Linked DNA regions of Drosophila melanogaster. The protein of the gene in region 1 purifies or fractionates together with the protein of each later gene. This does not show direct contact. Each region holds a gene or a part of one and is shown on either strand. Other genes may lie near its edges. The genes, in order: klar and alphaTub84D.

Region 1 (4,909 bases):
TGGGGTGGGGAATTCCAGATGAGATGATCTCATCTGTAAAAGTTGCTCAGCGAAGCAAGTGAATCAATGATCAGAAATGCTGTAATTAAACTGGCGAGCAAGAATGAAGACCAACATCGCTTACATCGGGTGGAAATTTAAAGTCTAGGGGGTGAACGAACACCAGTATAACAGTCAGTATATAACATATAACACCTTCAAAATGCAGGGGATGAATTCCGAGAAGGGTGTGCATTAATGTAAGCATCAGAAATGAGGGCGAATAATGCAAGATAAATAACAAAAGCGTGCCACAGAAGTTATATTAAAAGTGGGTGTGAATAAAATGTCAGTTACAAAATTGTAATTTTTGGTTTTAGAGTAATTCGTACCTACTATTAAGTATACTATTTGTTCAATACTGCTTTCCAAGACCTTTTTACTATTCAGAAGAAAAGAACCCCAAATGTTCATAAATTCATTTGCACTTTTGAAGTTCCCTACCCAAATTAGTTCCAAATTGAGAAGACAATGACTGTAGAGATGATCAGGCAAAAAGTTTGTATGCCGAGTTTTTTTATTTTTAGAGAACAAGAGTTGAAAGAATTTTCCTGACCTCAATTTGGCTTACAAAAAATTTTAAGAAAACAGTTAGAGGAAAGTGGAATTATACACAATTGTGTTAATCGAACTCGAACATTAGGAGATTAGATATTGACAATCATTCTTTGGGATTGATTTTTCGTTTCCTTTATGAATTCAATAATTTTCAACTTCCTTCTGGATGATTTGTATTTATTTCTTCATTACTTTCCCGCCATTTGAGAGCCGCTAAGAGTGTGGGAGAGATTTGGGCCTAAAAACTCGTTGATATTTCGCTTATTTTCGAGTCTTCGGTTAGGCAATTTGGCTCCAAAGTGACCTAAACCGACCCACTGCTAATGAGCCATTAACACGCTTATCTCGGAGGAGAAGGAAACATGGCTTAAAGACCGACCAGACCTGGCCAAAATTGGCCACGCACATGAGATGGGATTTTGACATATTGGGACTTCAGGTCTTTGGCCCAAAGAGACTCGGCACGTGAGCGTTAAAGCCAAAACACTTTGGGGTTAAGCTGGGGAAAATGAAAATGAAAGAGCAGGCGGCGCGCGAGTGGAAAATAATAGGAATTTCCTCAATTAGATTTCCTAGTCGCTGACCCCAAACCGGGCACGATGTACTGGAAAGTCGAAGGAAAAGCGGGGGAAAGACGAATGCAAATCGCATTAGGACGCGCGTTTAATCTGCTCCAAGGCATCGCCTTAACCCCGCCCCGAGGAAAATGGGGAAACCCACGAGAGGGGAGGGTGGGAAATCTAGGAAGAGGGCACCAGTAAAATGTTGCAGTAAACGATTTTCCATTTCCCGCTGGGTCAGCGGGTCATCGAGTGGGCGAGCGGGAAAACGCGAGATGAATGCAATATGGAAATCAATAAATAAAAACAGCATTTTCATTTAAGTGCTCGACGAGGAAATGGTTGTGGGAAAAGGCCAGAGAAAACCCCGTTCAAGTGTCGCCCATGAAAATGGAAAATCTTTCTTCGATGCGATGTAAATAAACAGTAAGAGTGCGACAACATTTGTTTATAGAAATGGAATGGAATTTAAAGTGCGAAATAGGGAAATACTTAACAAAACAAGGATCCAGAAATTGAGTTCTTTTATTTTCGACCAACTTGCTTGTTTTTCCTATTGGATTTAGACGTTTAAAAATACATTTTTTTACAGAATATAAAAGTTAGAAGCTAATTATCGAGTAATTCCTTTCTCCTGATTCATCACATGCTTTTCTTGTCCACATATCAATCCACTTTTCCATATTATCGATGCCAAAATAAACGATTGATTGATTGATTGAAAAATCAACCCACGCATTTTAATAAAAACAACAACAATTCAAATGTGCAGTTACACACACATAACTAAAAGGGAAGAGAGTGGAAAGCCGAAAGAGAAGAAGAGCGAGAGAGAGCAAATATTATCGCAGTTATTACGAAATCGCAATCGAAACATAACGGTAGATATAGATAGGAAAAGCACCAATACAATAAAGCGAATATAACCGCTAGAGGAAGAGGGGAAGAAGTGGGTGGGTGAAAAAGAAAGATCGCTGTCTCTTTCTCGCTCTCATACTTGCTGACTGCACAATTTGCAGTTAAAAGAAAGAAGCAGAACGGCCTGAGAAGAAAGACAAAGCATAAGAGTAACTGGCCAAGAAGAAGAAAAGAACAAGAAGTCAAGAACAAAATAGAAGAGAGCACACACACACACACATTCGTACGTACCCGTAGAAAACAGAGAAGGCAAAAAAGTCTTTCCTTTTTTTTACACTTTTATCCATTTTCAGTTGCATTTTATAAGATTCTTTAGTACAAACAATTTAACTTACTTGCTTTTTTTAGCAGCCACGCATGCGTCGAATGGGAATTTATGCTCCTTGAGACTCCAATTGGAATTTGTACCCCGGCTGCAAACAGTTTTTTTTTCTCTCTTGCTTTATTTCCACACTGCACACATACACATATGCAGCGGCACATACACACAAGTGCACGCACTGCAGTCGATTTTGTTTTTTTTGCATAAAACTTTATTTCATGTATGCCACTTGTACATTGTTTGTCACCAATTTGCGTATTTTGTACATCAAATTTTATTTTACTTTTCGTTGCCTTCCTTATTATTTTCCTAATCTTCACATGCACTTTTTTAGCGACGCCAACACACACATTTGCACACGCACACACATGGCGAGGATGAGAGAGGAGAAAGAGAGCAAAACACCGTTTTCGTTGCTTCCTTTTCGCTTATTCCTCTTTAGCCGCTTCTTTTCGATTCTGGCTCTTTTTGGCACTTTTAGCCCCAAGTTGCTAGCAATTCACTTAGCGTACGAGCACTAACAATTAAAACGAATAAGACTCGAAAAATACGATGGAAACGCGAACATATAAACAAAAATCTACATTGGTTTTATTGCAGCGCTACGCAGGTGTGTTTTTACGCGCTCATCGCGCAATTAAATTAGAACGCTGCAGATTTACTTAGTTCACTCCAGTCTGCCCAATGCGCGCCGCACACCTCGGAGCCGCAAATTATAAACACGACTGTCTTCGATTTAACGGGCTGGCCTATCGGTCCTATCGATGACTCGATAGTGCGAGCTGGAGTGTGACCATTTCTTGGTAAAAGCAAAATCGTGAAGAGTAAGTGTGCGATACTATCGAACTGTCATATACTCAACCAAATAACATCTGAAATCTGTTTCTCACTAAAACCGAAATTTCCATCAGGGTTAGGAAAATATAGTTTACGCACATCAAGTTGCATAGGTCAATCCTACGTAAAAAAGGCTCGATATAGGTAAGGTGGACCTCAGCCTGAACAGGGCCTAATGCAAATACATTCGATAAATAGATGTTATCGATAACCATTTGGTATATACCAGTAAATGCTTTGTTTTGGTTTTCATTCAGAAAATTGACATACATTTCTTAGTCTGCCTAAAGTTCCTTGGATTGAAAAGAGCAGTGCAGAATGTCGCACCGCCACCAGGACATTCCCATCCGCCCACGTTACGGTTATGTGGCCGAGGAGAGTGGCCCATCGGAAGGGGCAGCCAGGAGTTCTGGATCCGGAGCCACGCCCGCCTCCTCCTACACGGAAATTCCGTTCCTGGCTCAGTATCCGGGAGCGGTGCCAGAGCACGTGCTCCAGGATCTGACGCCCACAGCCACTGGCCATGCTGCGATTCCCGGAAGCACAAAGACAAGACCCAACGGCGAGAAATACCTTAACCTGGATTCGGGCGAGGATCCCGACGAGGAAGACGATCCCTTGGAGGAGGAGGACAACAGCAACTCGAATAGCAACTCTAAGGGCAGTTCCGGCGACATCGAAAGGCACAGACTGAAGGCAGAGAGCAGTGGGTTCTAGGTTATCTACCCATAGTTCCTGACTAAAGCATCTTCCTTCTTTCAGCTGTGCCCTACGAGCTGGACGGCGAAACCAGTGACTCCGACGGGATGCGCCACTTTGTGGCCCACGATCTAGAGGCCAAGTTGCGCGAGCGCGTGGCGGCTTCGGCCTACTCCTCGGAGCACACCACGCCCCTGAGCTCCATGGGTCCCATTGGAGCCACTTCCGGCAACGGTCTGCTCACGCGGCGGTTCCTGCAGTCGCGCAACATTCCCGAAGTGGACGGCAGCGTCTTGAGCGACATCGAACTGGAGGCTCAGTACTTGGCCAGCTCGGTGGACAATCTGATGGAAAACCTGGGCAACCTGCTGCACTCAATCTCCTCCATAACGGCCGACAACGTGGAGGTCCATCGCAACGCGGTCAACAAGCTGACGGACACTTTGGACGCGAATATCAAGTGCCAGTACCAATTGCTGGCCAAGGCGGAGGAAATCACCAAGTCGATGAAACCCACAGAGCAGCTGGGTCAGCGCATGTAAGTGGGTCAATTCAAGACAGATCCCTTTAGTGTAATGGACTTTCTCTTCCGCAGAAGGCAGATCAAGCGGCTGGTGGACATGTTGGACAGCACCATGTAAAATAGGGCTACGCTATCCTGTGATCAACCAATCAAAGAGATCTTGTCTTTCTAGTCATTCCGTAAATACATATAATCAGTGTTATAAAATCCATATGGAAAGATACCTTTCGCTTGTTTAAATCGTACTTATTCTAGCAGTTCCTCCAAAAAATCCACCTCCTTGGCTCACAGCTTCTCCACCTTGGCCTTGATGATCCTTAGGGGATCCACGGGGCGATCGTTCTTGTCGGTTTCCACCATGCCGATCCGCTTGACCACCTCCATGCCCGTGTAGACCCTGCCGAAGATCGTGTGCTTGCCATCCAGCCACTGCGTGGGCGCCAGCGTGATGAA
Region 2 (4,583 bases), on another chromosome or scaffold:
AGTTAAGTAATGATGTTAAAATTATGGCCAACTGATTAGAAAAGAAAAAGTATATGAGTGGAAAATATGTAGAATATATATTTCCACAACATTAATTTTGAACAATAACATCAAAGAGGGTGGATTCTTATTCATATGAATATAGTTTAGCGAGCCTCAACTGGCAAATACCGGTGCTCGCAATCAGGACAACGACATCCTTTGTGGAGCTCTAGGAGATTTCGAAGTGGCTCATTATCGCATGGCTCATATAGTACTTTGCCCTCTTTGGATTCCTGACCCTCGTATGCTGACTCCGGCGGACACTCTTTCTGAATACAAATCGGTTTTTCAACGTTCGATTTATCTATCTTGCATTTACGGAACTTTCGGATCTGGACATCAACGAATGGCTTATACGACTCGTACAGTTTTGGTACGGTAAAAATAAACAAGTGTCCTATAAAGAAAAATTATTTCAATTTAATGTAACTTTATAGATAAAGTAAAGTAAGACAACATATGCACATACCAAATATAAGCAAAGTCAATCCGTTGAAGCAATCGCCCAGCAAATTGATGCCGCAGAGCAAAACTAGGAACTTCAAGGAATCCTCCCACTTTTCCACCAGCAACAATTCTATCATACGGTTTAAAATTAAATTAATATGGGAAACTGCTTTCCCGGCCAGATAAAGAGTCTCCTCCCGGGGGATTTCTATCTTCGGGTGAGGATAGAAACGTAAGATCTGATCTTTGTTCTCATCCTTCTTCCAGATACTCCAGAACTGTACCAAAAGGCGATGGCCAATAGCTGCTATGAGAACTGTGATCCCTACCATGCTTATCACACTGATCACCGAGTGGACCATCACATCCAGCAGGAGGAGCAGGATGCCCGTGAAGACGATCAAAGTCTTTCGGCTATTGCGCCATAACAACAGGTTCTTCAGATCCATAAATATTTGGCTGGAGTCCTTAGCCTTTATCAAAGTATCGGTACTCATATTTTCGAATGTCTTTAGAGCACGTTCGGATGCTGGTTGTGAGATCAGAGCAAATAATGTTTTAAGTTTTCACAGCTGACTAATATTTCAAAGGTCAACCGAATAGACAAACTAAAATGATTTCAAATTGTCAGGTCGGAATGTATTTCGATTCACCACAATGTTTGTGTCTTGCTTCAATTCAGTTCACAGTTAAATTTGAAAAGTTTCTCGACATTGTATTTCTCAAAATGAAGAAAGCGAAGATATTCTAAAAAATATTTTTTTAAATTTTACTACATTTACCTAGCTAATACCGAATGCTTTGCGCACATTATTCATCCTTTTTTTTTAGCTAACTAGCGGGTTTAAATAGTAGTTTTTACTTACGCATCTTCAGAAAATCTTCAATTGTATGAAAATATGAATAATACACAAAATAGTAGCAGATTCCAAAAAATGTTAGCCTTTTGACACGAATAGCACAGACTGGTCCCAATATAAAGAAATACATCTGTGGATTATTTCAAAGCATACTCATTTCGCGCGCAATTAATCGATAAGTGCGCAAAATGGATCGATAACTGCGCAGTACTGTACTGCTCTCGGAAATTACTGCCTTAAAAATATACCAAGCGGGTCAAAAGAGTTCGTTGTGTTTACGGACGGGTTGCTCCATTCTTTAAAAATATATGAACATAAAAAAATTACTTACTTCTTTTATCTCTATTTCAATTTATTTTGTTCACTATGACCTACTGACTTAATGCAAAAATGCACTATTCGGTTTACATACTTTGTTCATTTTGGTAAATAGTAATAGTAGATGTTCTAAACACATGTAAAATTACTTAAACGGAACATTAGTAATTTGACGCTCTCTTGAAATAGGCATTATTAATTGTGTTAATATGCAGTTCACTTATACAAGGCATTGGTATTATTGAACTGTTTGGTATCTTTAAATTTCCCACCGGCGGTCACACTTAATCTACTGAACAAGCGTGCTTGTGCTAAATAATTTTACTGATCTTTAAATCTCGTAAATACCGCCATTTAGCCGCATCTGAACACTCTTGCCGATGGTAATCAATTATTGGCCAAGAGCTAGCAATGTTGTGTAAAAATCAGCGTGAAACTAAAGCCGAATTCAAACAAACAAACCAAAAAGCGGCCTGACAGGGTTTTTCGTGCCCCCAGAGCAAAATCGATTGGTAAAAGAAACGCGTTTCGTATAATATAGATAGTTATCTAATATCTAATCTAATATCTGAGTTGTTGTGAAGCCCTTTTTCGTAAAACAGAGCTACTGGCGATTTACGTCTGTTCGAAATCCATTCCCGGGCATTCCAACGTATACGCCCGCAGAGTCAGACCCCAAAATCCGTAGGCTTACACTTTTTCCGTTGATTTTCCGTAGTCGCGTGTGAGAAACCGAAACTCGAAACAAGAAACCCGGAATCGGAAACCCCATTAAAAATCAATATGCGCGAATGTATCTCTATCCACGTGGGCCAGGCCGGAGTCCAGATTGGAAATGCCTGCTGGGAGCTCTATTGCCTGGAGCACGGCATCCAGCCCGATGGCCAGATGCCCTCCGACAAGACCGTAGGCGGAGGTGATGACTCGTTTAACACCTTCTTCAGCGAGACTGGAGCTGGCAAGCACGTGCCTCGCGCCGTGTTCGTGGATCTGGAGCCCACTGTGGTCGACGAGGTCCGTACTGGAACCTACCGTCAGCTGTTCCACCCCGAGCAACTGATCACCGGTAAGGAGGATGCGGCCAACAACTACGCCCGTGGCCACTACACCATTGGCAAGGAGATCGTCGACCTGGTGCTGGACAGGATCCGCAAGCTGGCCGATCAATGCACCGGTCTGCAGGGCTTCCTCATCTTCCACTCGTTCGGTGGAGGTACCGGCTCCGGCTTCACCTCGCTGCTGATGGAGCGTCTCTCCGTGGACTACGGCAAGAAGTCCAAGCTGGAGTTCGCCGTGTACCCAGCTCCGCAGGTGTCCACCGCCGTGGTGGAGCCCTACAACTCCATCCTAACCACGCACACCACCCTCGAGCACTCCGACTGCGCCTTTATGGTGGACAACGAGGCCATCTACGACATCTGTCGCCGAAACCTGGACATCGAACGACCCACTTACACTAACCTGAATCGTTTAATCGGCCAAATAGTGTCCTCGATCACCGCCTCTCTGCGATTCGATGGAGCCCTAAATGTGGACCTCACCGAGTTCCAGACCAACCTGGTTCCTTACCCCCGCATCCACTTCCCGCTGGTGACGTACGCTCCCGTCATCTCCGCCGAGAAGGCCTACCACGAGCAGCTGTCGGTGGCCGAGATCACCAACGCCTGCTTCGAGCCAGCCAACCAGATGGTCAAGGTGGATCCCCGTCACGGCAAGTACATGGCCTGCTGCATGCTGTATCGCGGCGATGTGGTGCCCAAGGACGTGAACGCCGCCATCGCCACCATCAAGACAAAGCGTACCATTCAGTTCGTGGACTGGTGCCCCACCGGCTTCAAGGTGGGCATCAACTACCAGCCACCCACTGTCGTCCCAGGCGGGGATCTGGCCAAGGTGCAGCGTGCCGTGTGCATGTTGTCCAATACCACGGCTATTGCCGAGGCCTGGGCCCGTCTGGACCACAAGTTCGATCTGATGTACGCCAAGAGGGCCTTCGTCCACTGGTATGTTGGTGAGGGCATGGAGGAGGGCGAGTTCTCCGAGGCCCGTGAGGATCTGGCTGCCCTCGAGAAGGACTACGAGGAGGTCGGCATGGATTCCGGTGACGGTGAGGGCGAGGGTGCTGAGGAGTACTAGAGCGGATAGGTGTGCATCCCTCAAAATCTTGCTTATTTTCATACGCTCCCACTCGCATGTATAAATTTTCTGCGATAATGTATAGCGAACAAAGAAGAAAATAAAAACCCAAGAAAACACCAATTTATTAACCACGTTTAGTAAAAGGCACGAGAAAGTTAGTACTTTAAAATTAACTTTAATTTTATATATGACCAAAAGTCATGCATTAAAAAGTTGTTCACGTGGGGTACATCTGTATATTATTAATTTGCTTCATTTTTATTTTGTTGGTTGGTTAATGTCCTCTATTAACATAGGTTATTTATAATTTAACAGTCCACAGGAAACCGAACATCATAAAGGTGTCTTATCTAGGATTTCAACACCTGTATACAGTAAGATTAGAGAACGCTCTACCTGGCTAAACGGTAAGGTTTTACCAGGCTAGAAACTAAAACTAGAAATCCACGTATGCAAGTCGATGGATCCAGCTTTCCATATCATTCTCCAATCATCTAGGGTGTCCAAATAATATAAAGTTTTTCTTTGCTGCATAGAATTCAGCCAATAAAATTGAACAGAGATCTATCCATATTTTCATTCATTTCTATTTACTAAGCGAAGATTCATAAAAAAAAAAACCAATAGAAATAAATTTCCAGCCTTAATAATTCTTGAGATCTCGCTAGTGATCCTAATGAAGACAAATTTATATCCTCAATAGAGTTTGATTTAGATTTTTCGACGTGTAGCGAGAATAATTATTTCTTCTTTAAGAGGTATAAGGATATAAAAGCA

The links.
Region 2: the proteins of klar (region 1) and alphaTub84D purify together in Drosophila melanogaster (affinity purification with western blotting, with the first as the bait; one study listed by BioGRID). This does not show direct contact.

The regions. Positions count from the first base shown.
Region 1 is NT_037436.4:537,489-542,397, forward strand, and holds the start of klar (klarsicht), read right to left. Parts: upstream 3,127-4,909; 5' UTR 2,411-3,126; intron 1-2,410. Other genes in the region: BORCS6 (BLOC-1 related complex subunit 6), read left to right, coding at 3,553-3,940, 3,997-4,471, 4,529-4,574; Cypl (Cyclophilin-like), read right to left, coding at 4,742-4,909.
Region 2 is NT_033777.3:7,528,809-7,533,391, forward strand, and holds alphaTub84D (alpha-Tubulin at 84D), read left to right. Parts: upstream 1-1,944; 5' UTR 1,945-2,450; coding exon 2,451-3,803; 3' UTR 3,804-3,924; downstream 3,925-4,583. Other genes in the region: Rtnl2, read right to left, coding at 147-439, 512-986. UniProt on the Drosophila melanogaster protein: Tubulin is the major constituent of microtubules, a cylinder consisting of laterally associated linear protofilaments composed of alpha- and beta-tubulin heterodimers.